Sus scrofa: one gene and its partners. The protein of the gene in region 3 interacts with the protein of the main gene of each other region in a pairwise test. Links are inferred from orthologs where the notes say so. Each region holds a gene or a part of one and is shown on either strand. Other genes may lie near its edges.

What was found.
Region 1: the proteins of RAB6A (region 3) and BICD2 interact in binary tests that used the Homo sapiens proteins (3 or more experiments, as listed by UniProt). The link is inferred for Sus scrofa from reciprocal best matches to the Homo sapiens genes RAB6A and BICD2.
Region 2: the proteins of RAB6A (region 3) and PMM1 interact in binary tests that used the Homo sapiens proteins (3 or more experiments, as listed by UniProt). The two-hybrid records come from large-scale screens. The link is inferred for Sus scrofa from reciprocal best matches to the Homo sapiens genes RAB6A and PMM1.

The regions. Positions count from the first base shown.
Region 1 is NC_010445.4:42,451,068-42,461,140, reverse strand, and holds the start of BICD2 (protein bicaudal D homolog 2), read left to right. Parts: upstream 1-4,319; 5' UTR 4,320-4,491; coding exon 4,492-4,731; intron 4,732-10,073. UniProt on the Homo sapiens protein: Acts as an adapter protein linking the dynein motor complex to various cargos and converts dynein from a non-processive to a highly processive motor in the presence of dynactin.
Region 2 is NC_010447.5:6,960,153-6,970,033, forward strand, and holds the start of PMM1 (phosphomannomutase 1), read left to right. Parts: upstream 1-4,846; 5' UTR 4,847-5,178; coding exon 5,179-5,265; intron 5,266-7,626; coding exon 7,627-7,744; intron 7,745-9,812; coding exon 9,813-9,881. UniProt on the Homo sapiens protein: Involved in the synthesis of the GDP-mannose and dolichol-phosphate-mannose required for a number of critical mannosyl transfer reactions. In addition, may be responsible for the degradation of glucose-1,6-bisphosphate in ischemic brain.
Region 3 is NC_010451.4:8,193,731-8,203,469, reverse strand, and holds the start of RAB6A (ras-related protein Rab-6A), read left to right. Parts: upstream 1-4,257; 5' UTR 4,258-4,881; coding exon 4,882-4,951; intron 4,952-5,247; exon of another isoform or gene 5,248-5,684; coding exon of another isoform or gene 5,685-5,706; intron 5,707-8,630; exon of another isoform or gene 8,631-8,650; coding exon of another isoform or gene 8,651-8,678; intron 8,679-9,739. UniProt on the Homo sapiens protein: The small GTPases Rab are key regulators of intracellular membrane trafficking, from the formation of transport vesicles to their fusion with membranes.

The DNA of each region.
Region 1 (10,073 bases), on a different chromosome or scaffold from region 3:
TCCAACTAGTCAAGCTTGGACCTGGAAGACGTAGCCCATAAAAGCCTTGTGAAACCCTTCTTCCAGGCTCAGACTCTGGAGAGTGATCTCCTCTGAGCCCGCCAGTGTAATAAAACTGAGTTCTCCAACTCTCCGAGTGCTCGCTTGGTTTCTCGCCGGGTAAAAGAGCTGATCCACTGCAGCCGCAAAGCTGCTGGAGCTGGTACGCTATAGCCATGGGGCTGTCGCCAGAGCTGATACACTGCAGCGCAGGGCTGCTGGGTATCTGTCATAACAACATCACTTACCTTTGTCCCTAGGCCAAGGGTCACCCAGTTGTTCTTGGGGAGGGGCACCATGGATGTTCTCTGGCATCCCAGTCTGCCAAAGCTGCCTCCATTCCCTCATATTGTCCATCCCAGGGAGGGGTGTAGAGTCCAGGGAGTGGGGGATAGTAAGTACGGGCGGTCTCCACTGGTGTCCTGAGCCCCTGGTGTCGGTCAGGAGACTTCTGAGGCATGGTCCCTCCTGGAGCTGATATTCAAGGTAAGACAAAAGTGCAAAAATGAGTAACTTTAATGTATAGGATGCCATGGAGGAAGATAAAGCCAGGAAGGGGAGCAAGCCAGGAGGGCAGAAGGGCCACTCCAGAGACTGGGCAGGGTCTGGGAGATAATCAGCCTGTGCCTCTGGGAGGGGGCTGTGATCTTAAGGTTTGTGCCCTCACAATTTACATGTTAAATGCTAACCCCCAAGGTGAGGATGTTAGGAACAATGGGTCCTTTGAGGGTGATTAGGTCATGAGGCTGGAGTCCCCATGAGGAAATGATTGACTTTATAAAGAGGCCCCAGAGAGCTCCTCACCTCTCCTGCCATGTGAGAGAAGAGGAAGCGGGTTCACTGGAGGTTCTCACTAGATGCTGAATCTGCTGGCACCATGATCTTGGACTTCTAGTACCTTGAGAAATAAGGCTTGCTTATAAGCCTCCCAATTGTGGTGTTATTTTAACAGCCTGAAAATACCAAAAGGGTTTTGAGTAAGGGCATGTGACCTGCCTTGGGTCTGAAGAGCCTTCTGCTGCTGTGAGAGAAAAGATAGGGTGAGGGGGTTGGGGGAAGGCTAGTGGGGAAGTGAGTAAATAGTTCAGGTAGAAGGCAATAAGGTTCAAGCTACAGAGGGAACCACAGTTGGGAGGGCTGGAGGCTGAGGCTGGATCTGTCATTTACATACAGATTGGCAGATCAAATGAGGGGTGTAAGAAGTCCAAGGTGGTGGGAAGAATTTTGTCCTGAGCCTGTTTCCTCTTTTGTAAATCAGAGAGCATAATTCCCACCTCCTGGGGTGTTGGGAGGATTCAATGAGATGATGGAGGTCAAGTAACTGGCAATATTGGAGGCCTAGTTGGATCCTAACAAGCAGTGGCCCTGCTTCCTATCTTGCCAATCCCTTATACCAGCAGCCTGACCAGCCACTTTCTATGCATTCTTTGGGTCTCCTAAACCCTGTCCTGATGCCTGTCCTCCCAACACTATCACCCATCATGGCTCCTCTGGTGACAGGCCCTCTGTCCCCAGCACCTAGGAGAATCACTGCTTGTCCCCTTCCACAATCACTCTGTTTCCATTTTAAGCTCCACGGTCAATGCCTGCACCAGATTCCCACAGCCTTTTCCCCCTCTCCCTCCTCAGGCCAACCCCACATGAAGGTGTGGAGGGGGCAGGGTTTTGAGTTTGGCCAGCTTGGGTCAGAAGGGGCCACCACTTCTCACCATTCCTTCCTCCCACGTTAACCTTGCTCAAACAAGGCTTGTTCCTTCTCCCTGCTTTCCTCTATGATCTCACCCACTTAGACTAAATGATGCACCTAGGCCTGATGGTCTCCTAGGACTTGGTGCTCTCTGTGCAAAAGCCAGGTCAGACAGGCTGACTGGACATCCTACTCCTACTATGGGTAGGAGTATTGCCCTACAATTTTTTTTTAATTTAAAATTTTTATTGAATTTTTTTGGCCATACCTGGGGCATGTAGAACTTCCCAAGCCAGGGATGGAATCCACGCCATAGCAGTGACCCAAGCTGCTTCAGTGACAAAACCGGATCCTTAACCTGCTGAATTTTTTTAAATTTCACAAGTAAAATTATGCCAGTTTTTCCTCATACAAATCAAACCACTGAAAGGAATCAGGGCTCCTTGGAGAAATGGTTGATTCCAGGTCTGGGACAGAGAGTACAAGACAATACTGGAACAACTTTGCTAGAAAGTCAGAAAATGCTCAAAAATCATGGCATGTTGAAAGGACACAGAGCCAGCTGGACGAGCTCCTACTGGCCACATGTGCCATATTTGAACATTTAAGTGAATAAGGAGAGTAATGGATTGTAACTCATTAGGTAAAATAAGAACCCACAAATCCATACCACTAATGAATGAAATATCTTTCGACGAAGTGGAATAAGTACAGAAGGAATGATGAAAACAGAAAAAAAAGTATAATGGTAATTCATTTAGGCAAGAAATATCAATGGAAACTGGTAGAAAGTTTGAGGAACTCATACAACTCAATATCGAAAAAACAAACCACCGATTAAAAAAATAGGCTGGAGACCTGAATAGAAGGTCTCCAAGGAAGATATATGGATGGCTAACAGGCCCATTTAAAGGTGTTCAACATTGCTAGTTATCAAAAAAATGCAAATCAAAACCACAATGAGATATCACCTCACACATCTAGAATGGCCATCATCAAAAGGCCACAAATAACAAGTTGGTGAGGACATGGAGAAGAGAACCCTTGTACACTGTTGGTAGGAATGTTAAGTTGGTGCAGCCACTGTGGAAAACAGTATGAAGGTTCCTCAAAAAACTAAAAATTGAACCATCATATGATCCATTAATTCCACTCCTGGATATATATCCAAGGAAAATACTAATTTGAAAAGATACATGCACCCCAATATTCATAGCAGCATTATTTACAATAGCCAAGTTACAGAAACCTAAATGTCCATTAACAGATAATAAAGATTATGTGGTGTATATATATAAAATGGAATTTTGCCATTTGCAACAACATGGATGAACCTAGTGTATCATACTAAATAAGTCAGACAAATAGTATATGTTATCACTTTTAATAGTAGATAAAGAGATAAAGAGAACAAACTAGTAGTTATCAGTGAGGAGAGGGAAAGGCGAGAGGGGCAAAATAAGAGTAAGGGATTAAGAGGTACAAATTATAAAATACTTAAGCTAAAAGGATATATTGTACAGCATAGGGAATATAATCAATATTTTATAATAACTATAAATGGAGCACAATCTTTAAAAATAGTGAATCATTGTGTTGTACACCTTACTCATGTATCATAAATCAAGAATACCTCAATAAAAATTTCAAGAGCTTGAGGAGTGACGGGATAGTTGCAAAATCTAAACTGCCTTCTCATAGGATAGTAATAACAAAGGAATACCCTTGCCTCCTGACAGGATTCTGCGAATTTAGCACCCTGATGCTCCTGCCAAAGTGCATAACCTAATCTAACCATGGGGATGCATCGGTGTGTACACTTATGGCTTGCATGCCTCAGAAAGATCAAGGTCAAAGAGACAAAGAGGGAGAAAGTCTCCCAGCCTGAGCGAGAGTAAGGACTTAACTAGAACCCATGCTACAAGGGTAGGGCAGGGACGCGACGCTGGCTGGCCACGCGTCTCTGATTCGAGGCCACTGCAGTGACCTGGATAATCCTAGGGCGCATGGAAATGCCTAATTCTTAGAAAACAAGCAGGAGGCGTTTCGTACTTATTTGAGGCGAAGGTGGGCTCTACTGCTAGCGGTTTGACCATATCTTCCACTAAATACGTCCTGGGCTAGGCTGGCCTCGCCTGTCTGAGCCACCGGATTACTGTCCTCACAGCCACCCCGCCCGCGGTGCCCCCGCCGCGCCGGGCGTTCCACTCACGGCGGTTAGCACCGTGCCCGGCTCCACCCACCCACCGCTCAGCGCAGTCCACGGCCACCCCGGCCACCCAGCGCACCGCCGACCCTAGCCTCGTAAGTACCGCTGGGGGCACCGGAAAAATATCAGTTTCCGGCCTTGCGACGGCAGCTGCGCAGGCCAATCGCGGGCGAGGGCTGGCGGTCGTAGGGTACGACGGGTCTTGTAGTCGGTGGGCGAGCGGGACTACGTACCCCACATTGCCCCGCGCGGCGGCTGCGGAGGCGACAGCATGGGACGGGGCGGCCCGGGACAGGGCGCAGGCCAATCACGGGCGGGAGAAGACTGCGCGTGAAGCACGTCGGGTCTTGTAGTTCCCGCGGGCGGGACTGTGGTCCCCACAGTGCCCCGCGCGACAGCGAGCTTACTGCGGCTGCGTGGTGGTGGCGGCGGCGGCGGCAGCGGCGGTGGCCCGGGCGCCGTCGGGCTGGGTGGCGGCGGCGGCGGTTCCAGGGGCGGCGGGCGGGAGCCGGGCTTGAGCCTCGGAGGGAGTGGCACGACCCCGGCCGTGGCCACCATGTCCGCGTCGTCCGAAGAGGAGGAGTACGCGCGGCTCGTGATGGAGGCGCAGCCGGAGTGGCTGCGCGCAGAGGTGAAGCGGCTGTCGCACGAGCTGGCCGAAACCACGCGTGAGAAGATCCAGGCGGCCGAGTACGGGCTGGCAGTGCTTGAGGAGAAGCATCAGCTAAAACTACAGTTTGAGGAGCTTGAGGTGGACTATGAGGCTATCCGCAGCGAGATGGAGCAGCTCAAGGAGGTAAGGAAGGGCGGCCGCCGCCACGCCCTCCGCGCCCCCACCCCGGCCAATCCCCACACCCGACCCGGACTCCTCACCCCCGGGTCAGACAGACGTCAGCGCCGACCCCAGAGCTGTCCTCCGACCCAGGCCAAACTGACCTCGACCCCGGGACAGGCGGACCCCCGAACCGACCTCATATCCCAGGCCTTTCAGGCCAGCACTGGGGCGCCCTGGGTCGGAGGCTGCGCTGCTGTGGGGGGCGGGCCCCAGATGTGGTGGGCAGTGCGCGCTGTAGAAATTCTGGTCTCTGTGGCAAGGGCTGCTGTGGGGCCGTGTGGCCAGCCTGTCTACAGGCTCCTGATGCCAGGTCTTGGGCACGGTGGGGTGGCGTCCTTTGCGGTATTTGGCTTTCTGGGTGGGGGCATGGGATGGACACAGGTGACCGCCTGGGGAAGGACAGGCACATTACTTCTTTCATCTGGACTCAGCCGCCTTCAGCGGTCTCACAGTCTTCCGTGAACGCTGTGAGGCCATACCAGGGCCAAGTCGGGGGCTTGCTTTGCATGTGGCCACTGCCTGGACTACCCCACTGTCCCTCCCCGTGCTCAGCTCTCTCTGACCTCCCCACTAGTTACTTCTCTGGGATACAGTGCTTCCTTTGTCCACTTCCTGTCCTGGCTGCCTTCTCAGGCCCTTCCTTGCAATTGGGTGACAGGTCTGTGGATGCTTGTCATTGATAGAGCCTTGTGTCTCCTGTGCGATATACACTTGGGAGATCTGCAAGGTGGATCCCAAGGTGGCCAGAGAATCTTGCAGCCAGAGAGCTAGGCAGCCTTCCCACAAAGTAATTCTCATGGGTGATTTAAACATCCTTTTCTCTCCCAGTCCTCCCTGACTCCCCAGCCTTGTTGTGGAGGTGGGGAGGAAGAAGTTGCTTTCTGAGTGAAACACCTAGGTTTGGACCGAAACCTTTTCCCTTCCTGGAGGTGTGGCTGTGAGCAGGGGCCTTAGTGTCTTGCTCTGTAGCATCCCACCCAGAAGGGGTTGGTCTGAGGGATATTTGAAAAGTCCGGGCAAGGTGTCAGGCATCTAGCCTGTCAGTTTCTGTGAGAGCCTGCCCCTGCCCCACTTGACAATTCCCTTTTCCAGAGGGACCCTTGGCCCCTTGGCCTCAGGATCCACCATGCTTGCTGCTTCCCTAGCTGCCCACTTCCCAGCACCCCACTCCAGTGGCTCTAGGCAGGTGCCTGGACTGTTCTGAGCCTCCATGCTTCATGAGGGAGACCAGTTGGTCCCCTTCTGATAGCAGGGGAATTAATTCATGAAGGTATTTAAATCTATGCCTGTTCGAACAGGTGCCCGGTTAGTACCCGTAGAAGACTGATGTGGTATGGGAGTGGGGGTGAGGGAGCTCATGGACCCCAGGTCCTATATTGGTGCCTCCTCTGAGATCTTCAAGAGGGGCGACATTTGGCCTCTCCAGCAGGGGCCTCATCTTGGTGTGTGAAGTAGGGGAATGCGCCCAAGAAGGGGGGCTGAGGGGATCTTGAGACTATGGAGTGGGAGCACCCTAGGCTCACCCCCTCTGCAGCTCCTTGGTGAACCCAGCCCCCCCCCACCTCCACCCCCAGAGTGCATAGCAAGCCCCCACAGGCAGCATGCACAGTCCTCTTCTGTGTTCACAAGCTTGACTTGGTATCCCCTGTAAGAATAGACCAGAAGGGAAGATTGCACACAGAGCTAGCTACTCCTGCTTAGGAATCTTTCAGTTGTCAGCTCTTTACTGTTACACACATTTGGCTGGTGCAAGAATCTTGACTCAGTTTTGTAGGGTGTGTCTGGAGGGTGGGTCCCCAGGGGGATTGGGAAGACACTGTATCAGTTTGCACAGGTGTTCTTCAGGTGTCTGCTTGCTTCTTTTGATGTTACCTCCTGGCTCCCTCACACACTGGCTACATGGCCTTGGACACATCCCACTTTCCTGAACTTTGGTTTCCTCTGTGGCAGGTAGGATAAGAACCGTTCAGCTGGAAATCCCAGCAGAAGCTACAGGAAGGTGCATCACAGTCTTGGTAGATGTTTAAGGAAAGCTTGTACCAGTTTACTCAAACCCTTGTCAACCTCTCTAATTTTTTCTAATATTATTCTTGAAAGTATTGTTTCTTATTTGAAAAATCAAGATTTAACCAATATCTTTTTTATTTTTTTATTTTATTTTTAATTTTTTTTTTGTCTTTTTGCCATTTCTTGGGCCGCTCCTGCAGCATATGGAGGTTCCCAGGATAGGGGTCTAATCGGAGCTGGGGCCACCAGCCCATGCCACACCCATAGCAACACAGGATCTGAGCCACGTCTTCGACCTACACCACAGCTCACGGTAACGCCTGATCTTTAACCCACTGAGCAAGGCCAGGGATCAAACCCGCAACCTTATGGTTCCTAGTCGGATTCGTTAACCACTGCGCCACAGCGGGAACTCCCCAATGTCTTTTTTTAAAATTATTTTTCTGTAGAGAGATGAGCCATCTTCATTCTTTTAAAACTTTATTTCTTCAACTGTACTGGGTTCAGTTACTAAAAATTATCCTGCAAGTGGAGGCGCCTACATCCCTGCCTAGCATTTGTGGATAATACTGACTTTGAAGCGGGGAAGCTGACTGGCCAGTCCCAGGTCATTGGGTTTGTGACCAGACCTGAGGAGGATTCCGTGAGCCAGTGGGCAGTGGTGCTGGCCCTGCGGTCTTTCTCACTTGGTGAGTGTGTGTGTCCTGCTGAAACCAGGGTGTGTGCAGGGACCCACTGGCCCATTTTGTCTAACCATTTTGCTGGTGACTCATTCTGGCTTAATAATGTCCCCATCTGCCCCAAGTTCTTCTATACCCCCTTCCCAGCATGGTGGGGAAGAGAATTGGACAGATTTTGCGCCGTATGGTGTTTCCTAAGTAGCAGTGGAATATCTTACCCTGTGTCCTCAGCTGCAGTTTCAAGAAGGCAGGTGTGCTGGGCTGACAGTTCCTGCCTTGGGAGGGGGGGGTTGGGCAGGTACCATGAGTGGGTGGTTCTTGTAGGTTGGGAATGTGAGGGCTGGAGAGCATGCCCCAGGCCAGTGGCTGGGGTCCTGGTGCAGTCTCAGCCCCACCCTTGCTCAGCTCCCAGAGAGAGAAGGAAGATGAGGTATGGATGCCCTTGCTCTCTTCTCTGCCGCTTTGGGGTCTTATCAGTGCAGGTGGAATTTGGTGAGCTGCAGCCTGTCACAGGCTGGAACTGGTGCCCAGGATATATAGTAAGTGCTTACTCAATAAGTTTCTGCTAGCTGGTGTCATCAGCTCCTTCCCTCCATCTCACCCAGGCCTGGATCCCCTCCCTGCTGTCTCTGTAGTCACCTTGTCTCTGTTCATTGTTCTTTTGAGGTTTGGCGTGGCCCCACTGTGTCTCCCAGAGGGTGGCCTGAGCTGCTGCCTGGGGCCTCTGGCCTGGCTCAGCCTGTTCCCCCTTGTCCTGGTTGCTTTTACTGTCCTCACCCTGCCAGTCTTGGATCTTGAAAGCCCCGCCTGCCCTTAAAGGACTGGACGCTTTTCAAAGCCTCCTCTGGTCGCCACCTCTGGACTTACCTAAGCCAGCTCCCAACCTCCGGATGTCCCTCCCATGTGTAGGCTCAGCAGCCTCCTGAAGAACTGTGGCAGAGCTGGGGGGAGCAGCTGCTCTGTCTTCTTCCCTCCCTCATTCCCGTCCCTCTTGTAGTCTCCTCTCTCAGAGGATGGGGCAGCCAAGGTCAGGATGGGTGTAAGTGACTGAGGAAGGTCCTGTAGCTCAGACCGAGCTGTAAGTGGCTGTTGGACACCAGATTCCTGTCCATACCTTTGTAGAAGTCACTGCCAGGAGCTAGCTCATGGGGCAGTGGCGGGGGGCGGGGGTTGTTGAGGAGGGCCCCTCAGGCCTCACCCCTGTGGGGGAGCTGCTCCTGCCCTAGACTCCCCATGCCCCACCAACTCCTGCAGTCCTCCCACCAGCCCTTAGGGTCACCACTTTGTTATGTCTGTTTCTGGGGAAACTGAGGCACAGAGAAGTTGTGTTCCACTCAAGGCTGTGAGCCTAGGCATTCTTCCCCAAGAGGGCAGGCACTTGTGGAGGAGGAGGCCTCTGTGCAAGGCCCAGTCTCATCAAGTGTTTGCTTTAGGGCAGGAAAAGTCCTCATTTGGCTAAATCCTGTAAGGATTATGCTCATCTGGACCACCCTAGAACTTGGAGCAGAGGAGCAAGCAGCTGTGTACATCAGTGTTCTTGGGTGTGGCTTCGGATGTGTGGCCTGGGCGCTGTGAAAGAGCTGCCTTTCCACAACTGGTGCATGAGGGAGGCCAGGCATGAGTGTGGCGCTGCCTGGATAGGCAAGGAGGCGCTTCCTGTTCTGACCAGAGCCGTTGTTGTCCCTCTCTGGTTCTAGGGGAGCAACTGGACCCAGCCTGGGCCCTTTGGACCTGTGTGGCCGTGGAGGAGTGCCTCTGTCCTGAGGATCAGGCTGGTGTACCTAGTGCACATGGGCACATGGTGGCTGAGGCCCCGGGTCTGAGTAGCTGCCTCAGAGAGAGCCAGGGCCAGGTAGACACAGGCTTCTGCTGGGCCTTCCCACTTCAGGGACCCTGACCCCTTTCTGTGAAGGAGGAACTTACCCTTGTGAGTTTGGGGCAGCTACCCTTTAATCAGACCCGCTTCTCTACATCTATACACTGGTAAAAGGGCCACTGCACATGTCAAAGGTAAAGAAAGATTTGGTTTCTTTTTTTTCCATACCCTTGGCATGCAGAAGTTGCCAGGCCAGGGATCAAATCTTTGCCAGAGCAGTAACCAGAACCATAGCAGTGGCAATACCAGATCCTTAACCCACTGAGCTACCAGGGAACTCCTGGTTTCTTCTTAGACAGTGACGTGAAGGTGGCTAGTAGGCGGGGGCTGGCCAGGACCCTGCAGGCTCTGATGAATCCCATATTGTCTGGTGTTTGATGTCTGGCCCCTTGAGGTGTCCCCCAGAACAAGAGAGAGCACAGTGTGGCTGTGCAGCTGCTGTCTTGGGCATCAAAACCCTCTTTTCCAGCCCTGCTCTGCCATGGGAAGAGAACAGACAGCGGGGGTTGTGGGAGCAGGACAGGTCTCAGGGACACATGGTGAGATGGGCTGCCAGGCTCAGGCAGGTGCTGGCATGAAGGAGGATTGGGGTCTGGCTTCTTTAGAGCTTAATATGTTTTGAAAAACCATTCATTCGTTTTAGGAACATCAAAAAGCAGAAATGAGCAGGTCTCTGTAGGAGTTGTGAAGTATGTATGGGGAATTACTGGGTATTTCTACTTGCCAGCTTTTTTCTTCTT
Region 2 (9,881 bases), on a different chromosome or scaffold from region 3:
TCATGGCAACACCGGATCCTTAACCCACTGATCGAGGCCAGGGATCAAACCCACAACCTCATCGTTCCTAGTCGGATTTGTTAACTACTGAGCCATGACAGGAACTCCAGCCCTGTCCAGTTTTTAACCTGCTGAGCCACAATGGGAACTCCCTAAAATTTTTTTGGATACTTTGTCCATAGATTTTTTTTTCACTAATTTTGATCTTTAAAAAATATATTTTGGAGGAGTTTCCATTGGGACCCAGCGGAAATGAATCTGACTCTCATCCATGACATTCAGGTTTGATCCCTGGCCTCGCTCATTGGTTAAGGATCTGGCGTTGCCTTGAGCTGCGGTGTAGGTTACAGACACTGCTTGGATCCCATGTTGCTGTGACTGTGGTGCAGGTCAGCAGCTGCAGCTCCGATTGGACCCCTAGACAGGGAACTTCCATATGCCGTGGGTATGGCCCTAAAATAAAATATATATATATATATTTTATTGGATTTCCCTGGCAATTGAGTGGGTTAAGGATCCTGTGTTGTCACTGCAGTGGCTCAGGTCGCTGCTATGGCTCAGGTTAGATCCCAGGCCAGGGAACTTCCACATGCTATGGAAAACACTAAAATTCTATTTGTTGTTACCGAGGTTTTAGGGGCCCTCTTAAAATTTGTGCCTACAGCAAGTAACTGAGTCCCCCTGATCTCAGCCCTGCTGGCCTGTCAGGTGCTCCGTGCAGCCTTAAGCACATCTCTTTCCTTTTTCTTCACCGTGAAGAGACAAGAACACCTCCTAGAGATGCTGCCAGAGTGGATGAAGGTATGTGGTCAGGTGTCCAGTGTGGTGGCCGGCACGTGGTAAGGGATCAACAAATACCAGGTATGACAATGTCAAGTGAAAAAAAAATGCCCAACCTAAAAACGGAAAGTTCAGTTTTATTTGAGGATCTTTCTGAGGACTCTAGCTGGGTAAACAATATCTCAAATAGCTCTGAGAAACTGCTCTGAAGAGGTGAGGGAGAAACCAGCATATGAAAGGTTTTTTGCTGGAAAAAAACAGCAAAAGATTATTGTTGATGAAACCAAGAAGAACCCCATGGGGCTCCTGGACACAGATCCACATAACAATATTTCTTTCTTTTTTTTTTTTTTTTTTTGTCTTTTTGCTATTTCTTGGGCCGCTCCCGCGGCATATGGAGGTTCCCAGGCTAGGGGTTGAATCGGAGCTGTAGCTGCCAGCCTGCGCCAGAGCCACAACAACGTGGGATCCGAGCCGAGTCTGCAACCTACACCACAGCTCAGGGCAACGCCGGATCCTTAACCCACTGAGCAAGGGCAGGGATCAAACCCCCAACCTCATAGGTCCCAGTCAGATTCGTTAACCTCTGTGCCACGACGGGAACTCCCACATAACAATATTTCTAAGCTCTTCTGCAGAGCTAAAACCCCCAACAAATCAGAAGACTTTAACTACTTGATGAAGCATTCTTCCTTCCAGAGAGACGGTTTACAGTTTGATAACTTTTAGGCCAGATTAAAGGATACCTGATCCTTATCAGCAATGCTGCCCTTGACCCCTTGCTATAAAACTCCTCACAAATCCTCTCAGGTTGGGACACACCGATTTTGAAGGCATGAACCTGCTGTGCCTGCTTTGCCTGGCAAAGCAATAAAGCTCTTCTTTCCTACTTCACCCAAAAGCCTGTCTCCAAGATCCAGTTTTGCATCAGTGCATGAAGGCTGGGTTTCAACAACATGAGTCACACAAAAACAGATATCTCGAGTTAATTATTTTAGTGCTTTTCTGTATATGGGAAGATGCAAGAGTCTGGGCTCATTGAAATTGTTCCTTAAAAATGCATCTTAGGAGTTCCTGTTGTGGCGCTGCAAAACGAATCCGTCTAGGAACCCTGAGGTTGCAGGTTCAATCCCTGGCCTTGCTCGTGGGCTATGGATCCCATATTGTTGTAAGCTGTGGTGTAGGTCACAGACGCAGCTTGGATCCTGCGTTGCTGTGGCTGTGGTACAGGTTGGCAGCTGTAGCTCTGATTCAACCCCTAGCCTGGGAACCTCCATATGCCGCCAATGCGGCCCTGAAAAGCAAAAAACAAACAAACAAACAAAAACTCTGCCAATCTCCAATGCATAGAATATTTCCTGTTTTTCTCTATCCTGAATTTCCCTCAGGGCCCACCATGGGGGTGGGCTGCAGGGGTAGATGGTGCCATTCTTCTAGAACTGGAATGCCAGGCAACATTCACGTTCCACAATGATCTCATAGTCTTACTAGATAGGGATTCAATCTTTTATATAAATGAAGATGCAAAGGAAGGCAACCTGTCCAAGTCCGTAGTTATCAGGGACATAACTGTCCTCCATTCTGCCTCCAGTGATCTCCCAGGGTACCATGGCAACTGAGATGGAAAAACAAACAAGCCAACCAAAAAGCATGATGCACAACATTGCCACTCACTCATAGGTACGTGGATGTATGTGTCTCTGTAGGATCAGAACGGCCAGAGTTGATCAGAGGCATCAGGGTAAGGATGGTGGATGTGGCAAAAATGCCTGCTTACCCAGGCACACTGGCAAACTGGAGGGCAACCCCTGGGAGTAGAGAGGGAAGTAGAGGTGGGCCTTTGTCTCTGGCTTCTGGTAGAAGAAACAGACAATCTTTGAGGGGAGAAAGCTATAGCAAATGCAGCATAATACCAACATCCAGGGAGAGCCTGCTATTTTTTCCATTAGAAAAGTAGGATTGGAGTTCCCATCATGGCGCAGTGGTTAATGAATCCAACTAGGAACCATGAGGTTGCGGGTTCAATTCCTGGCCTTGCTCAGTGGGTCGAGGATCCGGTGTTGCCATGAGCTGTGGTGTAGGTCGCAGACGCGGCTCGGATCCTGCGTTGCTGTGGCTGTGGTGCAGGTTGGCAGCTGTAGTTCCGATTCAACCCCTAGCCTGGGAACCTCCTTATGCCGTGGGAGCAGCCCTAGAAGAGGCAAAAAAAAAAAAAAAAAGAAAGAAAGAAAGAAAAGAAAAAAAAAGAAAAGTAGGATTATGATCTTTTTTTTTTTAAGTAAAAAAATTTTTTTGTTGTTGTTGCTTTTTAGGGACACTCCAGGATTATGCTTTTTCCATGTTAAATATTCTACAACATAGGTGTTTTTTTTTTTGCTTTCCTTTTTTCTGCTTTTTAGAGCCGCACCTGTGGCATATGGAAATTCCCAGGTCAGGGGTCAAATTGGAGCTGTAGCCGCTGGCCTATGCCACAGCCACAGCAATGCCAGATCCTAGCCAAATCTGTGAACTACACCAAAGTTCGTGGCAATGCTGGATCCTTAACCCACTGAACAAGGCCAGGAATTGAACCTGTGTCTTCATGGATACTAGTTGGGTTTGTTACCTATGAGCCGCAACGGGAACTCCTAACAACACAGATTTCCAAGTCCTCACAGCAATTCATCTTACTGATGGATCATAATTTAACTGATCCCCAATTTTTTTTCTTTTTTTCTTTTTCTTTTTTTTTTTGGCCTTGCATGCTGAAGCTCCCAGGCCAGTGACCAGAGCCACAGCAGTGACAACACCGAATCCTTAACCTACTGAGCCACCAGGGGACTCCATCCTTTTCTTATTTTCTAAAAGCTGAATTGCTGGCTCAAAGGGTCTGCACATTTTTTGTTTGTTTGTTTGTTTTTTAGGGCCGCACCCACTGGCATATGGAGGTTCCCAGGCTAGGGGTCAAATCAGAGCTACAGCTGCTGACCTAGACCACAGCCACAGCTCCGCGGGATATGAGCTGCATCTGCGACCTATGCCACAGCTCAAGGCAATGCCGGATCCTTAACCCAGTGAGCGAGGTCAGCGGTCAAACCTGAGTCCTCACGGATACTAGTCGGGTTTGTTAACCTCTGAACCACGACAGGAACTCCAGGGTCTGCACATTTTTAAGAGTGGACATGCAATAGCTGTTTAATCAGTAACAGTATCAAGCACATTTATACACATTCTTTGGAGAGGGCCTGCTCTGTGGGATCTTTTCTTTCTTTTCTTTTTCTTTTTTTTCTTTTTAGCACCACATCTGTGGCAAATGGAAGTTCCTAGACTGGGGATTGAATAGGAGCTGCAACTGCCGGACTAGGCCACAGCCACAGCAACTTGGGATCCAAGTCGCCTCTGCGACCTACACCACAGCTCATGGCAACCGCCAGATCCTTAATCCATGGAGCGAGGCCAAGGGTGGAACCCGCCTGCTTTTGGATACTGGTCTCTTTGAAACCAGCTGAGCCACAATGGGAACTTCTATTACTTCTTTTGAAGTGCAAAGCAACCCTACAAAGTAGGTGGTGTTTTTCCCATTTTACAGAGGGAAACAGGTAAAGAAGTCTTAGAGAGGTGAAGGGACTTGTCCAAACTCACGTGGTTGGTGAAGCTGGGAAGACTATTTAGAACTGACTCCAAAGTCAAGGTGATGGTTAAATAGTTGTGAATAGAGAGGAGTCCAGGTAAACCATTAGCTGTGCTTTATGGAGTGGACAGAATGACAGCAGGAGTAAGGGTCGGAGAAGGTCATCTGGCAAACCCCAGAGGCTGAGCAAAGGCCATCAGCGGATTTCTTTAAGCTCATGATTTGTAGGTCAAAGGCATTAGTGACCGGGCGAGTCCTAGATTGACTGGCAGCGGGGAGAGTTGTGGGAGGGTGGCCCCCCCCTACACACACACACTCCCCCGGATCTCCCCACTCCCACCCCGGACTCTGCACTGCCGCTCGAGGCTCCGCCCTAGTCCAGCCCCTCCTCGGCCAGTTGCAATCAGAATCACCCCGCCAAGGGCCAGCCCTGGCCCCGCCCCTCCCTTCCGGGTTCTTTCCCTCACTTCCCGCCGGACCCAAGTCAGACCCGGGCCCAGGCCCAGCCTCCATCTGGTTTGCAAAAATCCGAAGGACCCTGCCGGGCTTTGCTCCGCCCTATGCTACGCCCCTTCTCCGCCTGGTACCATCAGAATTAACCTCCCGAGTGAGCTCAGGCCCCACCCCTGCCCGGTACCCCGGGAGAACGTGCCCTGGCCCCTCCCCCTCTTCTCTGGGCGCCGTCCGGATGGCCCCGCCCCTCCCAGGCCCCGCCCTGTCTAGCGTCTTCCCCACGCGGCTCCGGCGGCCGCATCCTTCGACTCAGCTCCGTGAGCTGAGCTGCAACCATGGCGGTCACCGCTGAGGGCGCCCGTAGGAAGGAGCGCGTCCTCTGCCTGTTTGACGTGGACGGTACCCTCACGCCGGCTCGCCAGGTAGGGCCTCGACGTTCAGAAGCTCCTGTTGGGAGTGTCACGCGGACACCTGGAGGCCGAATGTGTGGCCTCCAGCAGCGTGACCCCAGATCCCCCGGGACTGTGTGTGAGATGCCGGAACACACCCGGCCCCTGACACCCCAGGGCCGCCCTCTGGGAGTGATGGGAACCCGGTTCCCCACGTCACAGGCCCCGAGCGTCCGTGCCCTCGTTCTGCCTGAGAGCGAGGGGGGGTGGGTCGGATTCTGGAGGGAGGAAGTGAGCGGGGACCTGGTCCCTCCGCCGCCAGGCCTGGCTCCACGCTCCCACCTCCCCAGCAGTGACTCCCACCCCAGTTCCAGCCCAAAGAGGCACCAGTAGCCCGATGCTGGCTTCTGAACCTAGGGTTCCATACAGGGGCTCAGTGCTCCCAAGCGTTGGAGTCCCAATCGGGCGGGGGCCGGGGGTGGGGGAGTGTCTCCGAGCCAGCCCACCGACCTTTGCAGACTTGGGCCGCGTCTGGTTTCTCAAGCCCCTCCTCTACTTTCCCTCCCTCCCAGGCCCATCCCCCTCCTCTTGGAGGGAAGGAGGGCTTCTGTACCATTTAGGCAGAGTTTTGGGGCTTCGCCCACTTGGAGGGAGGGGCTCGTCTGGTCACCATGGGAATCTTGTGGTACCGGGTGGGCGGGAGTGCAGTTTCCCTTCTAAAAGCATCTCACCAGGTTGATGCTCCAACCTCTGCTCCACACTCAGTTTTTCTCCCTTCGGGTCTCACCCAGGATGAGCCCCCAGACCCGCCCTCACCAGGTGGGTTCATGGATGAGCAGGCTCTTTCTTGCCCTCCAATCTGGGTCCATCAGGACCTCCTGAGGAGTCTCCTAGAGCAGGGAGCCAGTAGAGGTGGGTTGCCTGGCAGAGGCTGATGGGCAGCCAGGTCTTAGTCTCCCCTCCCCTTTGTGAGGGCCCTGGGCCAGCAAGAGGAATCAGGCCACCTCACCTTCCAGCAGCTCCCTGAGTCCTCAGGGATGCAAGGAAGAAGACAGTGGAGCGAGGGTAGCAGGGCTGAGGAACAGTGTCCACCCCTCCCTCTGACCCTTAGCTCCACTAACCTGACAGCCTGAACAAGAACAGTGGCACTGCTGGATCTGGCCTTAGCACTTTTTAAAAGTTAATTTTTAATTGTACACGTACTCGTGAACACGTTCTCTTGTAAAGAATGAAAACAGAACAGAGAAGGCTGAAGTCCCCTGATTAGTCAGGATCCCAAGCCCAGCCTCATCCCCAAAGTTGTGAGGTTTTCAAAGTGCGTTTGATTGTTTTTAATAAGTGGTATCATACTGTGTGTGTCTTTCTGCAGCTTGCTTTTGACAATAAACAGCGTGTCTTGGGGCTCTTCCGTGTTGGAAGCACAGTCCTGCCTTATTCTGTTGTGGCTGCAGTATAGAATTTCAGTGCAAGTGTGTGCCATTCTCTAACTGACTAGCTTATTTGTCTGCAGTTTTCTTCCTGTTATAAACCCTACCCAGTGAACATCCATAATGCACCTGCACAATTCCATAGACGGGGTACTTGCATTTTAAGTTTTAATAGATCCTGCCAAATTACCCTCCAAAGTAGCTGTACCAGTTTACCATCTCACCAGCAACTTGAGAGTGTTTGTGCTCTGTCCGCTCTAGATGTTGTCAGCTTTGAATAACTGAATGTTTGGAAACACGGCTTACAACTCATTAGTTTACACATTTCCTTGACAGGGAATCTTTTCAAGTGATGAGTCACTAGTCAATTGCTTATTCATTTCCAAACACCACCTCATTTAAGCCTTCACAGTGACCACCTCCAGGCAGTTGCTACTATGATCCCCATTTTAGAGGTGGGACAACTAAGGCAAAAAAAAGGCAAAGCCGGAGTTTCCATCGTGGCTCAGCGGAAACGAATCTGACTGGTATCCATGAGGATGTAGGTTCGATCCCTGGCCTCACTCAGTGGGTTAAGGATCCGGTGTTGCCGAGAGCTGTGGTGTAGGTCACAGAGGCAACTTGGATCTGGTGTTGCTGTGGCTGCGGTGTAGTCTGGCAGCTGCAGCTCCCCAGTTAGACCCCTAGCCTGGGAACTGCCATATGCTATGGGTGCAGCCCTAAAAAGACAGACAGACAGACAGGAAGAAAGGCAAAGCCATTTGCTTAAGACATCCTGCTCCTAAAGGACTTGAGCCTGCTTTTGAACCCAAGTGCATCTAGTTTTGAGATCTGGGTTCTAAACCTTGAACTGCCTCAGATGTAGGTGGAATGTGGGCTCCCAGGATTCTGAACCCTGAGTGAGATCTAAGTGGAGGGCCCAGACAGGCTGACAGTCAGAATCTCGTGCTTTCCTGTCCCCCTGCAGAAAATTGACCCTGAGGTGGCTGCCTTCCTGCAGAAGCTGCGCAGTAGGGTGCAGATCGGCGTGGTGGGCGGCTCCGACTACTCTAAGATTGCCGAGCAGCTGGGAGAGGGGGATGAAGGTAGGAGGGGTGGGCCAGAGCCAGCTTCAGGTGGAGGGAGTGGGACTTTGGGAGATTCCCTGGAGCTGTGTGCCTTCAGGGACCCCACCCTGCTTCAGGGAAAAGGAAGTAGAGTAGCAGCCAGATAGTTCCCTCGGTGAGTCAGCTATTATGTGGTGAGCACCTACTGTGTGCCAGGCACCCTGAGGGGCTTTGGAGAAACAAGGAACAAAGCGGACAGAATCCTGCCCTTCCATTGTTTATGCTCTCAGTTCTCCCTGAGCCTTGATTTCCTCATCTTTAAAATGGGCTTGGAGTTCATGTCCTCGATCAGCGGTAACAGACACAACTGGGATCCGTGAGAACGCAGGTTTGATCCCTGGCCTTGCTGAGTGGGGTAAAGGATCCAGTGTTGCTGTGAGCTGTAGTGTAGGTTGCAGACATGGCTCAGATGTGGCGTTGCTATGACTGCGGTGTAGGCCAGCAGCTACAGTTCTGATTTGACCCCTTGCCTGGGAGCCTCCATGTGCCGAGGGTGCAGCCTTAAAAAGCAATCAATGAAATAATTAATAACTAATTAATTAAATAACATGGGCCTAATCAGGGAGTTTCTGTTGTGGCTCAGTGAGTGAAGAACTTGACATAGTGTCTATGAGGATGCAGGTTCGATCCCCAGCCTTCCTCAGTGGTTAAGGCATTGTCCTAAGTTGTGGCATAGGCCAGCAGCTGCAGCTCTGATTCAACCCCTAGCCTGGGAACCTCCATATGCCACAGGCATGGCCCTAAAAAGACCAAAAAAAAAAAAGAAGCACATAATTAATAATGGCTACCATTTGTTGAGAATGACCATGTGTTAACTTCTTTCATTTAATATTCATAATTTAGGGTTGATATGATTATCCCTTTTATTTTCTTTTTTTAAAATCCTATTTAACAGAGGAGAAATCTTTTTTTTTTTTTTTTTCCCCTAGGGCTGCACCCGCGGCATATGCAGGTTCCCAGGCTAGGGGTCTAATTGGAGCTGTAGCTGCGGCCTACTCCAGGGCCACAGCAAATGGGGATCCAAGCTGCATCTGTGACCTACACCACAGCTCACGGCAATGCTGGATCCTTAACCCACTGAGTGAGGCCAGGGATCGAACCTGCAACCTCATGGTTCCTAGTCAAATTCCTTAACCACTACGCCATGAGGGAACTCTAACAGAGGAGAATTCTGAAGACAGCCAGGACCCAGAGCCCCTTTTCTCAGCTGAGTTCCCAGGTTCAGCTCATTTAGGCAAAGGCCTCCAGGTCCTCAAACCAGAGACTACCTTGACTTTTCCCTCCCCTCTTCTTTGTTTTGTTTTCTTTTTTTTCATTTTTGGCCACCCCACGGCATACAGAGCATCCCTGGCCTGAGCCGCAGTCTCCACGCAAGCCGACGCTATGGCAATGCCAGATCTTTAACCCACTGTGCTGGGCTGGGGGGATCAAACCCGCGTCCCAGCGTTCCCAAGACGCTGCTGATCCCGTTGTACCACAGCGGGAGCTCCCACCCCTTGTTTATTCTTCAGCAAGTCCAAAACTTTCTCCCTGTGTCTCCATCTCCACTGCCCCATCATAGTCCAGGCGGGCACCTGACTCTGCATCAGCCTCCTGGCTGAGTTCCCGGCACCTCCCCGCCCCGCCCCCTCCAGCCACTTCTTGTGTTGGTCAGAGCTGGTTGGTCCCATGCAGCCAGTCTTGAGAACACAGTGATGGAAGTTGTAAAAGAAAAGGGAAGCCCCTGTGCAGAGGGGCTGCAGGAACGCAGAGCAGACGTGGCATCCTCTCCCAGGAGGCCCGGGGGGGCTTCCAGAGGAGGCGCTGGATCCTAGGGAAGGAGTGGAGGAGGACGTCCCAGCTGGGGGAGCTGCGTGAGCAGGGCCCAGAGGTGTGTCTGGCTTGAGTGCTCGTTTGGAAAAAACCAAGCTGCAGAAGGCAAGGAGGCTGGAAAGCAGGCTGGGGATGGAATGGCAGCCCAGGGAATGGGGCTTCTTCCCTCTCCTTGGCGCTGGGCACCTGGTCTCACACTCTTTCTTTCTCCCCTGGCCTCTGCGTGGCCCTGAAGTCGTCGAGAAGTTTGATTATGTGTTTGCTGAGAACGGAACCGTGCAGTATAAGCACGGACGACTACTGT
Region 3 (9,739 bases):
TCCTTCCATTTCTATAGCTAAGTAAATAATAACCTCCCCAAATGAGAAAATATATATAATTGTGTTTTGTAAATGGCAAGGCACTATAAACAAATTTAAGGACTTATTTTTTATGATTAATTAGGAAGTATTTTTTTAACTTTTTAAAATTATAGTTGTTATAATATGCCAATTACTTCTGTACAGCAAAGTGATCCAGTCATATATTCCTATATATGTATATTTTTCTCTTATTATCTTCCATCGTGGTCTATCATAAGAGATTGGCTATAGTTCCCTGTGCTACACAGTAGGACCTCATAGCATATCCATCCTAAATGTAATAGTTTGTGTCTACCAGTCCATTCCTCTCCCTCCCCTCTCCCCGTTGGCAACCACAGTCTGTTCTCTAAGTCTGAGAGTCTGTTTCTGCTTTGTAAATAGGTTCACTTGTGCCCTATTTTATTTTTTTTTATTTTTTTAAATTTTTATTTATTTATTTTTTTTGCTATTTCTTGGGCCGCTCCCACGGCATATGGAGGTTCCCAGGCTGGGGGTCTAATCGGAGCCGTAGCCACCGGCCTACGCCAGAGCCACAGCAACGTGGGATCCCAGCCGCGTCTGCAACCTACACCACAGCTCACGACAACACCGGATCGTTAACCCACTGAGCAAGGGCAGGGACCGAACCCGCAACCTCATGATTCCTAGTCAGATTCGTTAACCACTGCGCCACGACGGGAACTCCTTGTGCCCTATTTTAGATCCATCATGTAAGTGATATCATATGCTATTTGTCTTTCTGATTTCACCTAGTATGAGAATCTCTAGTTGCATCTATGTTGATGCAAATAGCATTATTTATTCTTATGGCTGAGTAGGAGTCTATTGTATATATGTATCACATCCTAACCCATTCATCTGTCAATGGATATTTAGGTTGTTTCCATGTCTTGGCTATTGTGAATAGTGCTGCAGTGAACCCAGGGGTGCATGTATCTTTTTTCCCCCCTGTTTTATGGCTGTGCCTATGGCATATGAAAGTTCCTAGGTTAGGGGTCAAATCAAAGCTGCAGCTGAGGTCTACACTATGGCCATGGCAACTCTGGATCCAAGCCACATCTGTAAACTGTGCTGCAGGTTGCTGCAATGTTGGTTCCTTAACCCACTGAGAGAGGCCAGGGATTGAACCCCCATCCTCATGGATACTATGTCGGGTCCTCAACCTGCTGAACCAACCACAATGGGAACTACATGTATCTTTTCGAATTATAGTTTTGTCCAGATATATGGCCAGGGGTGGGATTGCTGGATCATGTGGTGGTTCTATATTTAGTTTTCTGAAGAATCTCCATACTCTTTTCCACAGTGATTGTAGCAATTTACATTCCCGCCAACAGTGTAGGAGGGTTCCCTTTTCAACTTGGAAGTATTTTTAATACCAGTGTTTAAAAGTGGAGTTATTGTGGCTCAGGGGTTCCCATTGTGGCTCAGGGGTTAACAAATCCCACTAGGAACCATGAGGTTGTGGGTTCGTTCCCTGGCCTTGCTCAGTGGGTTAAGGATCCCGAGTTGCCTTGAGCTGTGGTGTAGGCTGCAGACGTGGCTTGGATCCTGCGTTGCTGTGGCTCTGGCGTAGGCTGGCAGCTACACCTCCGATTAGATCCCTGGCCTGGGAACCTCCATATGCCACGGGAGCGGCCCTAGAAATGGCAAAAAGACCAGAAAAAAAAAAAAAAGAAAGTGTCCTTTTCAAAGATAAGTATTGCTTTTTCAAATGCTGTCCCATATTATGGTTAGTTGTGGCTGAAGTATGGTAAGGTGTGGATGCTGAAGTCTCTAATTTGATAATTTTTTTTTTTTTTTGGTCTTTTGTCTTTTTGTTGTTGTTGTTGTTGCTATTTCTTTGGGCCGCTCCCGCGGCATATGGAGGTTCCCAGGCTAGGGGTTGAATCGGAGCTGTAGCCACCGGCCTACGCCAGAGCCACAGCAACGCAGGATCCGAGCCGCGTCTGCAACCTACACCACAGCTCTCGGCAACGCCGGATCGTTAACCCACTGAGCAAGGGCAGGGACCGAACCCTCAACCTCATGGTTCCTAGTCGGATTCGTTAACCACTGCGCCACGACGGGAACTCCTAATTTGATAATTTTTAACATTTATATTTTTTAATAAATTTTTTTGAGTTTTATATTAACAGAAAAATTGAGCAGATGGTAGAGAAAATCTCCATAAACCTCTCCTCAGCCCAGTTTCTTCTATTATTAGTATCTTTTGTTGTTGTTGTCTTTTTGTCTTTTTAGGGCTGCACCTGCGGCACATGGAGATTCCCAGGCTAGGGGTCCAATCGGAGCTGTAGCTGCTGGCCTACACCACAGTCACACCAACGTGGGATCCGAACTGAGTCTGTGACCCACCCCACAGCTCACAGCAATGCTGGATCCTTAACCCACTGAGTGAGGCCAGGGATCGAACCCGCAACCTCATAGTTTCTAATTGGTTTCGCTCCTATTATTAGTATCTTATATTAGCATGATACATTTGTTACAATTAATGAAGCAATATTGATATATCACAACTAAAATCTATATTCAGATTTCCTTAGTCTTTGCCAAATGTCCTTTTTCTGTTCCCGAATCCAATTCAGGTTAAAACTTAAAAGTTTAATTATCATGATAGTTATATCCATATTACACTTAACTGTCATGTCTTTGTGGGCTCCTCTTGAGTGTGACATTAACCTTCATTCTTGGGGTCATGAACTGGGTTGAAAAATCTGATGAAAAGTATGGATTCTGTCCACAGAAAAATACACATATTGTAGACGTGTAATTTAAGGTAGTTCCACCAATAGCAGATTCAAAAGGGATTTGAATCCTTTAGGAGGACTGGGTGATCTTTAAAATGTCCACTTCAGGAGGGAGTTCTCACTGTGGCTCAACAGTAACAAACCTGACTAGTACCCATGAGGACTTGGGTTCAATCCCTGGCCTCACTCAGTGGGGTAAGTATCTGACGTTGGCATGAGCTGTGGTGTAGGCTGCAGACTCAACTTGGATCCCGTGTTGCTGTGGCTGTGGCGCAGGCCAGCTGCTGTAGCTCTTGATTTGATCCTTAGCCTGGTAACCTCCACATGCCACGGGTATGGCGCTAAAAAGCCAAAAAAAACAAAAACAAAAACAAAAAACAAAAAAAACCCCAATAAATAAATACAATATCTACTTCAGGAATTCCTGCTGTGACTTAGTGGGTTAAGTACCCTGCCTTGCCTCTGTGAGGATTCGGGTTTGATCTCTGGCCTTGCTCAATGGGTTACGGATCCTACAAAGTGGAAACCTCCAGGGTAGATCTCAGAAGCAACTAGGATCTGGTGTGGCTGAAGCTGTGGCATGGGCCTGAATTTACAGCTCCAATTCGACCCCTAGCCCAGGAACTTCCATACGCCACAGGTGTGGCTGTTAAAAAAAAAAAAAGCCCACTTCATCAGGGGCATGCTCTACCACGAATTTGTTGTGTGACCTTTTTGCAAACTTGTTTTCCTACCTGAGCCTCAGTTTTACCCTATGTTTACATGATATCTAAATCCTTTTCGATCACAGTAGAAGGTGGGCTCACCTGGGCTGGCCCATCTGAGGAAGAGAGGTTGCTAACAGAAGGCCAAGCCACATCAGGCCAAGGATGGTCTTATCAACTAGCAGGTTGCAGAAGTTCAATGGGGGAAAAAGACAAAACCTGGCTTCAATTTTACTGTTCTGTGGGTTTTGTAAGTCATTTCCTTCCTACGAGCTTCAGTTTCCTCATCTGTAAAAACGTGGAGGCCCTGCTTCTGGTAGTTATGAAACTCCTGGGAGCAGGAGTGGAGAATGTACCTAGGAGGGTATCATGGCAGGAATTATAAGAAGAGGTTGGAGAAGGTGGGGGCATAGGTGAAGTGGGGCTCGCAGGAATCTGAGGCAGGGCTAAAGGCTCAGAACTAGGAACCTTCTAAACACCTTAGTACTCTCTGACTTCATCCGCTCTTGTAGGGGTCAATTCCACCTCCACGCCGGCCCCGCCTCCACCCCGCTTCTCTCTGTTCTCCTCCCCTCAGGCTCGGACGCGCCACACTACACATGGCCGCCACTGTGAGACACTTTCCACCGCTCGAGGGCAGCGAGCGCGCTCTCGCGCCGCCACCTCATTCCCATCCTTGCCCGCCCTTGACCTCTTCCGATTGGCTCATCGTATAAGTGACGAAAGCGCTCCTTACTCCACCCTTTGGGTTCCTCCAGGCTCCACCCCACCTCCCCGCTTCTCCCGACGCGAGCGTACACCTAACCACCCCCGGTCTCCGCTGCCGCGGAGCCGGGAAAGCAGGCTAAACCAGGAAGACGCCGTCTGTGGCGCGCACGCGCACGCACGCACGCACGCACGCTGGGGCTGGCGGGGCGGCAGGCTCGTGCCCGGGCTCGCCCCGCGCCGCGCCACAGGCTCGCGCACTCAGCAGGTTGGGCTGCGGCGGCGGCAGCTGAGGCGCTGAAGCGCTGCGTGTGAGAGGTCCCAGGCGCGTCTGCGGCTCCGGCTCCTCCGCCCTCACCCCAGCCTCCGAGCCGGGTGCTGAGAAGGGAGCCGCTCTGGCCTTCGGACCCCTGAGCACTCCCCTGGCTGCTTCCGACACCGCCTTCGTTCCCTTCCCAGCCTCGGGCCTCGCTCGGTGCTAGGCGGCTCTGAGGGGAGGCGGCGGCGACGGCTGCCTGTCTGTGTCGAGGGGCCCTGCCCTCCGGTCTTGCTCCGCTCCGGGCCCTGCAGCGGCCGAGAGAGCTGGGCGCCCGCCCATTCTCTAGCCTCTCCGTCCACTGCTTGGAGCCGCGTCGGTCCGGGAGGTCTTTGGGCTGAGGCGGCGCAGCTCCTCCGGCTCCATCATGTCCGCGGGCGGAGACTTCGGGAATCCGCTGAGGAAATTCAAGCTGGTGTTCCTGGGGGAGCAGAGCGGTGAGTGCGCGGCTCCCCCACTCCTGGCAGCTGGCCGCGGCTTCCCCGCACCGCCCCCAGTGCGGCCCTTCGGCCGCGGAGGCTGCTGCGGCCCTCGCGTTCGCCCTCCGCCCCCTGCCCCGGCCCCGCGTCGGCCGCCCCCTCGTCGCCCCCCGTGCTTCCTCGCCGCGATCCGTCGGGCGGATTTTGCCCCTTCTGGCCCCGACTCCGCCGGCTCCTCTCCCCGCAGCCCGGCCCTCCCCTGTCGACGTGCCCTCCCCAGTCCTCACCCCGCCCAGCCTCCTGTCCATCCCTTTCTTCCTCCGGTCTCCGTCGTCTCGCCAGCTCCCGCTCCCTTCCTTGAGCCCCACCCTTGTTCCTCGCTCTGATCCCGGTCGGTCAGCCCTGCGAGGCCCACCGGCGGGACCCGGCTCTTTGGAACCTCGCGCCGGGAGGGGGGATCTGGGCGTTGTTTTCCCCAGAGGCTTGGCCCTGAGAAGTGCAGATCTTCTGGAAGGTGGAAAGTGGGGAGTCCTAGAAAATTCTTGGATTGTTTTCACCTGGGTGGGGGGTTGGCCTGGGTTCCAGAGGGTCCACGTCGGCCTTGGAGGCGACTTGAGGATGGAGTGGTGGGGGAGTGAGGGAGGGGCGGCGGCAGTGGCGATTTTTACCCGATGGGCTAGGCTGCGGCTTGTTGGAAAACCTCGTTTTCTTCTCCTGACTTTCATCCTTGACGATCCTTTTGGCCGCGTGGATGCTTTTCCAGTCTCTGCCAGGTGCTATGTCATGATCGTTTTACTTGGAATTTTTCACATCTCACCTCTCCTTTTTCTGTTTTAACACGAAGCGGGGTCTGATTCTCCTCACAGTGGAGCAAACAGGAATTACTGGGGAAATGCTAATTATTCCATTTCTTTTTGAGTATTTTCCAATGATAGATTGAGGATTCCTGTGAGAGAAGGCTTTAGGATAACGAACATCTTTGTTTTGTAGGATTTCCTTTGGGGTCAGGGAGTAAGAGAGAGAGAAGAGATGGGTTTTTCATCTGGTTATCTAAGTTAGATAAATACATGATACCATTTTGGCGAAATGCTTCTTTTATGGTTAATATTCCACTGTATCTGATGAGTAAAATCATTTGTTTACCTGACCATGCTTCTGCCGTCATTGTACTTTGTGTTAGATAAAGGTCCTTACTTTGTGTTAGATAAAGGTCCTTATTTTGTGATGGCTGCTGTCTCTAAAATTACTTCTTGTGGTAATTCCAATTTTATGCTGTGTTATACACACTTCATACTCTGCAGTTTAGAGGTGATCACCCTTCATTGTTTTTCTCTCACTTTTCCTGGCTGTCTTTAAAATTGAGACAGTGAGAGATTAGTTCTTACGAAGTCATTAGACATTGTTATCTGTTAGGTGTTTTAGGTTAGGCTATAGAAGACATTTATTTCTTTTGATTGGGAAGAAGATAACTGATGTTAATTCAAGGCTTTTGTTACTACTTTGAACTATTTACACTAATTTGTGTGACATTAAAGTAGGTTAATAATAGTTGCAAAATTGCTTCCAATTAGACCTGAGAAATCATTTTTCTCCTTTCATACATAATTTTTTTCTCCTTGTTGTCTTACCAAGTTTCCTCTTTGTTTATTTTTTCTGAATTTGTTTCTTTAAGTAACTTGAGACCTGTGAGGTTGATCCTTGTCCAGGTATTATAACAATTTTAGGGCAGTGCCATTCATAAAATATAGCTATTGGTCATTATTGATAGGATAAGTGCTTATTGTGCACTCTAGGGATGTTTTTGCCTGCCTGATGTTGTGATGCAGAGATATTTAGTTTGCATGAAAAATCTCCATCCTAGGAAAATTTTAGTATGAATAGTCATAACTTAAGTATCTGCAGGTTTCCTTTGAATTTCTTGGGTATTTACTTCTAATTCTCATTGCAGAGTTTTATAGCTTCTCATTTCTTAACTTCTTTAAGTCTTTACTAAATCCCCTTCCTGCCAATTCCTGAAGCCATCTTAGATTTTTTTAAAAGTAAACTCAATTTTGTTAGAACAGTTTTAGATTTACATAAAAATTAAGATAATGCAGAGAGTTCACATAGAGTCCCACCCAATTTCCCTTATTATTAACATCTTTCATTAGTATGGCACATTTGTTACAATTAATGGACCAATATTGATGCATTATTAAGTAAAGTCTCTAATTTATTCAGATTTTCTTCATTTTTATCTGTTTCTGTTCCAACATTCAGTTCAGGATACCACATTACTTTATGGTTGTCTTTCTCCTTAAGCTCCTCTAAGTTTTTTTAAAATTGTGTTTGCATGCTTTTTAACTCGGTGGAACTGTGAGGTTAATTATCTTTGAGGCTGCTATATTGCTAAGTAATGTCATCCAGTAGCTTCGACAATGAAAGATTGATCTCTTTTCACAGGCAGTGTCTGTAGTGTTCTTATGCATTAGCAAAGGTCTGTAGAATCCATGTCATCTAGATGTAACTCTTCATGAATTTTTTATTTTTAGGTTTTGGAATTCCACAATTCAGCTTTCAAGACCAATCTGTGGCAAAGCTTTGTCTTCTTAATAGCATTTACCACATTTATAATTCTTATTTTTTTGTGTTTTTTTTTTTTGTGTGTGTGTGTGTTTTTGCCTACTTCGCACAGCAGAATGCAAATCCCATGTGATTTAAAAACTATTATTTTTTTGTTCATTGTATCCCTGGTGCCTAGGATAGTGCCAAGCTTGGAGCTGTACTCAGAATGAATGATGGTTGAATCTAATAGTAACCAAAGCTAGTAGTCATCTTTGCTCTGGTGAAGTCTATGTTTTTTTTTTTTTTTTTTTCTTGTGCAATTAATAATATAACAATAACATTTTATACCTACTTTATTTGACTGTATACAGGGATACTCCAGATGCCCAGGGCACAGGGAACCCAATAATTTATAGCCTTTACCATGTCACTAAAAAAAAAAAAAAAAAGACTGACTAGAATTTTATACCTTTTTTTGAGTTGAACAAAATTAGGTTTGTTAAAACTATTGTTAAATTATTTGTTACTGGTATAGCACCTAAAAGTATGTCAATTAAAGCCATGTTCATGGAACAGATTTGAAGTTAGGTAGACTGTTTAATTTAGTTTTTCAAAAATTTAACATTCTTTGATGAATGAAGATGAATTATTTCAGTATTTGAGGCCTCATTAAATTAATGATATCAGTCTTAGTAATCTTCCTATAAATTCTTATGGTTTATATTTTAGCAGTATACATGGTTTAATAAAAGAGTGTTGGAATATACAACTTGAATCTGAAGTTTCTTTGAGGAACCTCTTTGGTTGCTATTTTTGGGTATTGTCTTGAAATCAGAGGCATTTTTAGGAATGTCATTCATGGTTTACAGCAGAAGATATTTCTATAAACAAATGTTATGAGTTACAAATTAAGAAATATAATCCCAAAGAGAAGCACATATTTAGGCCTAGTGCTGCTTATTTTTTTCACTTTATATTACCTTTTTTTACATCAGTCCTGTATTATAATTATATTTTTATATATATTATATATATAATTGAATTAAAACATGGTATGTAGGAAAAAAGTGTCGTAATGTCAGATACCAGGAATACTGAACAGTTTATATTGTCTGGATCAGTAATCCTAAACTTTTTTTTCCCCTCAGGATCCTGTTACGCTCTTATAAACTGATGAGGCTTCTAAAGAGTTGTTTATGTGGTTTGTATCATTATTTACTGTGTCAAAAGTTAACTGAGAAAGTTTAATTCATTTAAAAATAATAGTGTTAGATCTATTATATGTTAACAGAATCATTTTTAATGAAAGAAAACTATTTTTCAAACAGATTTAGTGAGAGTGGCATTGTTTTACATATTTGCAAATCTCTGTTAGTTCTGATGTATTAGAAGACATCTGGCCATAGCTGCTTCTGCATTAAATCTCTTGTAATATCACACATCACATAGGCTCTGGGAAACTCTGCTATATACTCATGAGAGGATGAAAATAAAAAAAGTCAAGTATCATCTTGATATTATGAAAATGGTTTTGACCTTCAGGAGGGTAGTGGGCCCAGCCAAAGGGCCCTGGGAATCCTGGGAGTCATTCAACCACATTTTGAGAACTGCTAGGTTCTAGATGATATTAAGCCATCTGTATCTTGTAGCTTTGTATTGCATTTAGAACAAAGGAAATTTTTTCCAACCTAGTTTTGAAACCTTAAAATTAATCAGTAGAGCTAGTGATTAAGAGCAGAGTCTGGATTTCATGATTTAGCCCTGATCACTGACCTTGGGCAAATTATTGACCTCCTTGTTTTAACTTCCTTAACTGTAAAGTAATAGGACCTATCATATAGAGTTATTGTAAAGATTAAATTACCTAATAAATGTAAAACATTTAGAAGAATGTCTGGCACATGGGGAGTTCTTAGTAAATATTTTAACAAATGTTTACTGAAAACTGCTACTGTCAAGTGGTTTGGTAGCGCCTACTCTTAAGAAATATCTCATCAGGAAAGAAATATGTAATACTTAACACACTGTAGTGTGATGAGTGCAGCTGCTTTAAGTAGAGTTGAAAGTTACAAAGAAGTGGAATTCCCATTGTGGCTCAGTAGAAACAAATCTGACTACTATCTATTAGGATGCAGGTTCAATCCCTGGCCTTGCTCAGTGGGTTAAGGATCGAGTGTTGCTGTGAGCTGTGGTGTAGGTCACAGATGTGGCTCAGATCTGGTGTTGCTGTGGCGTAGGCCGGCGGCTACAGGTCCTGAATCG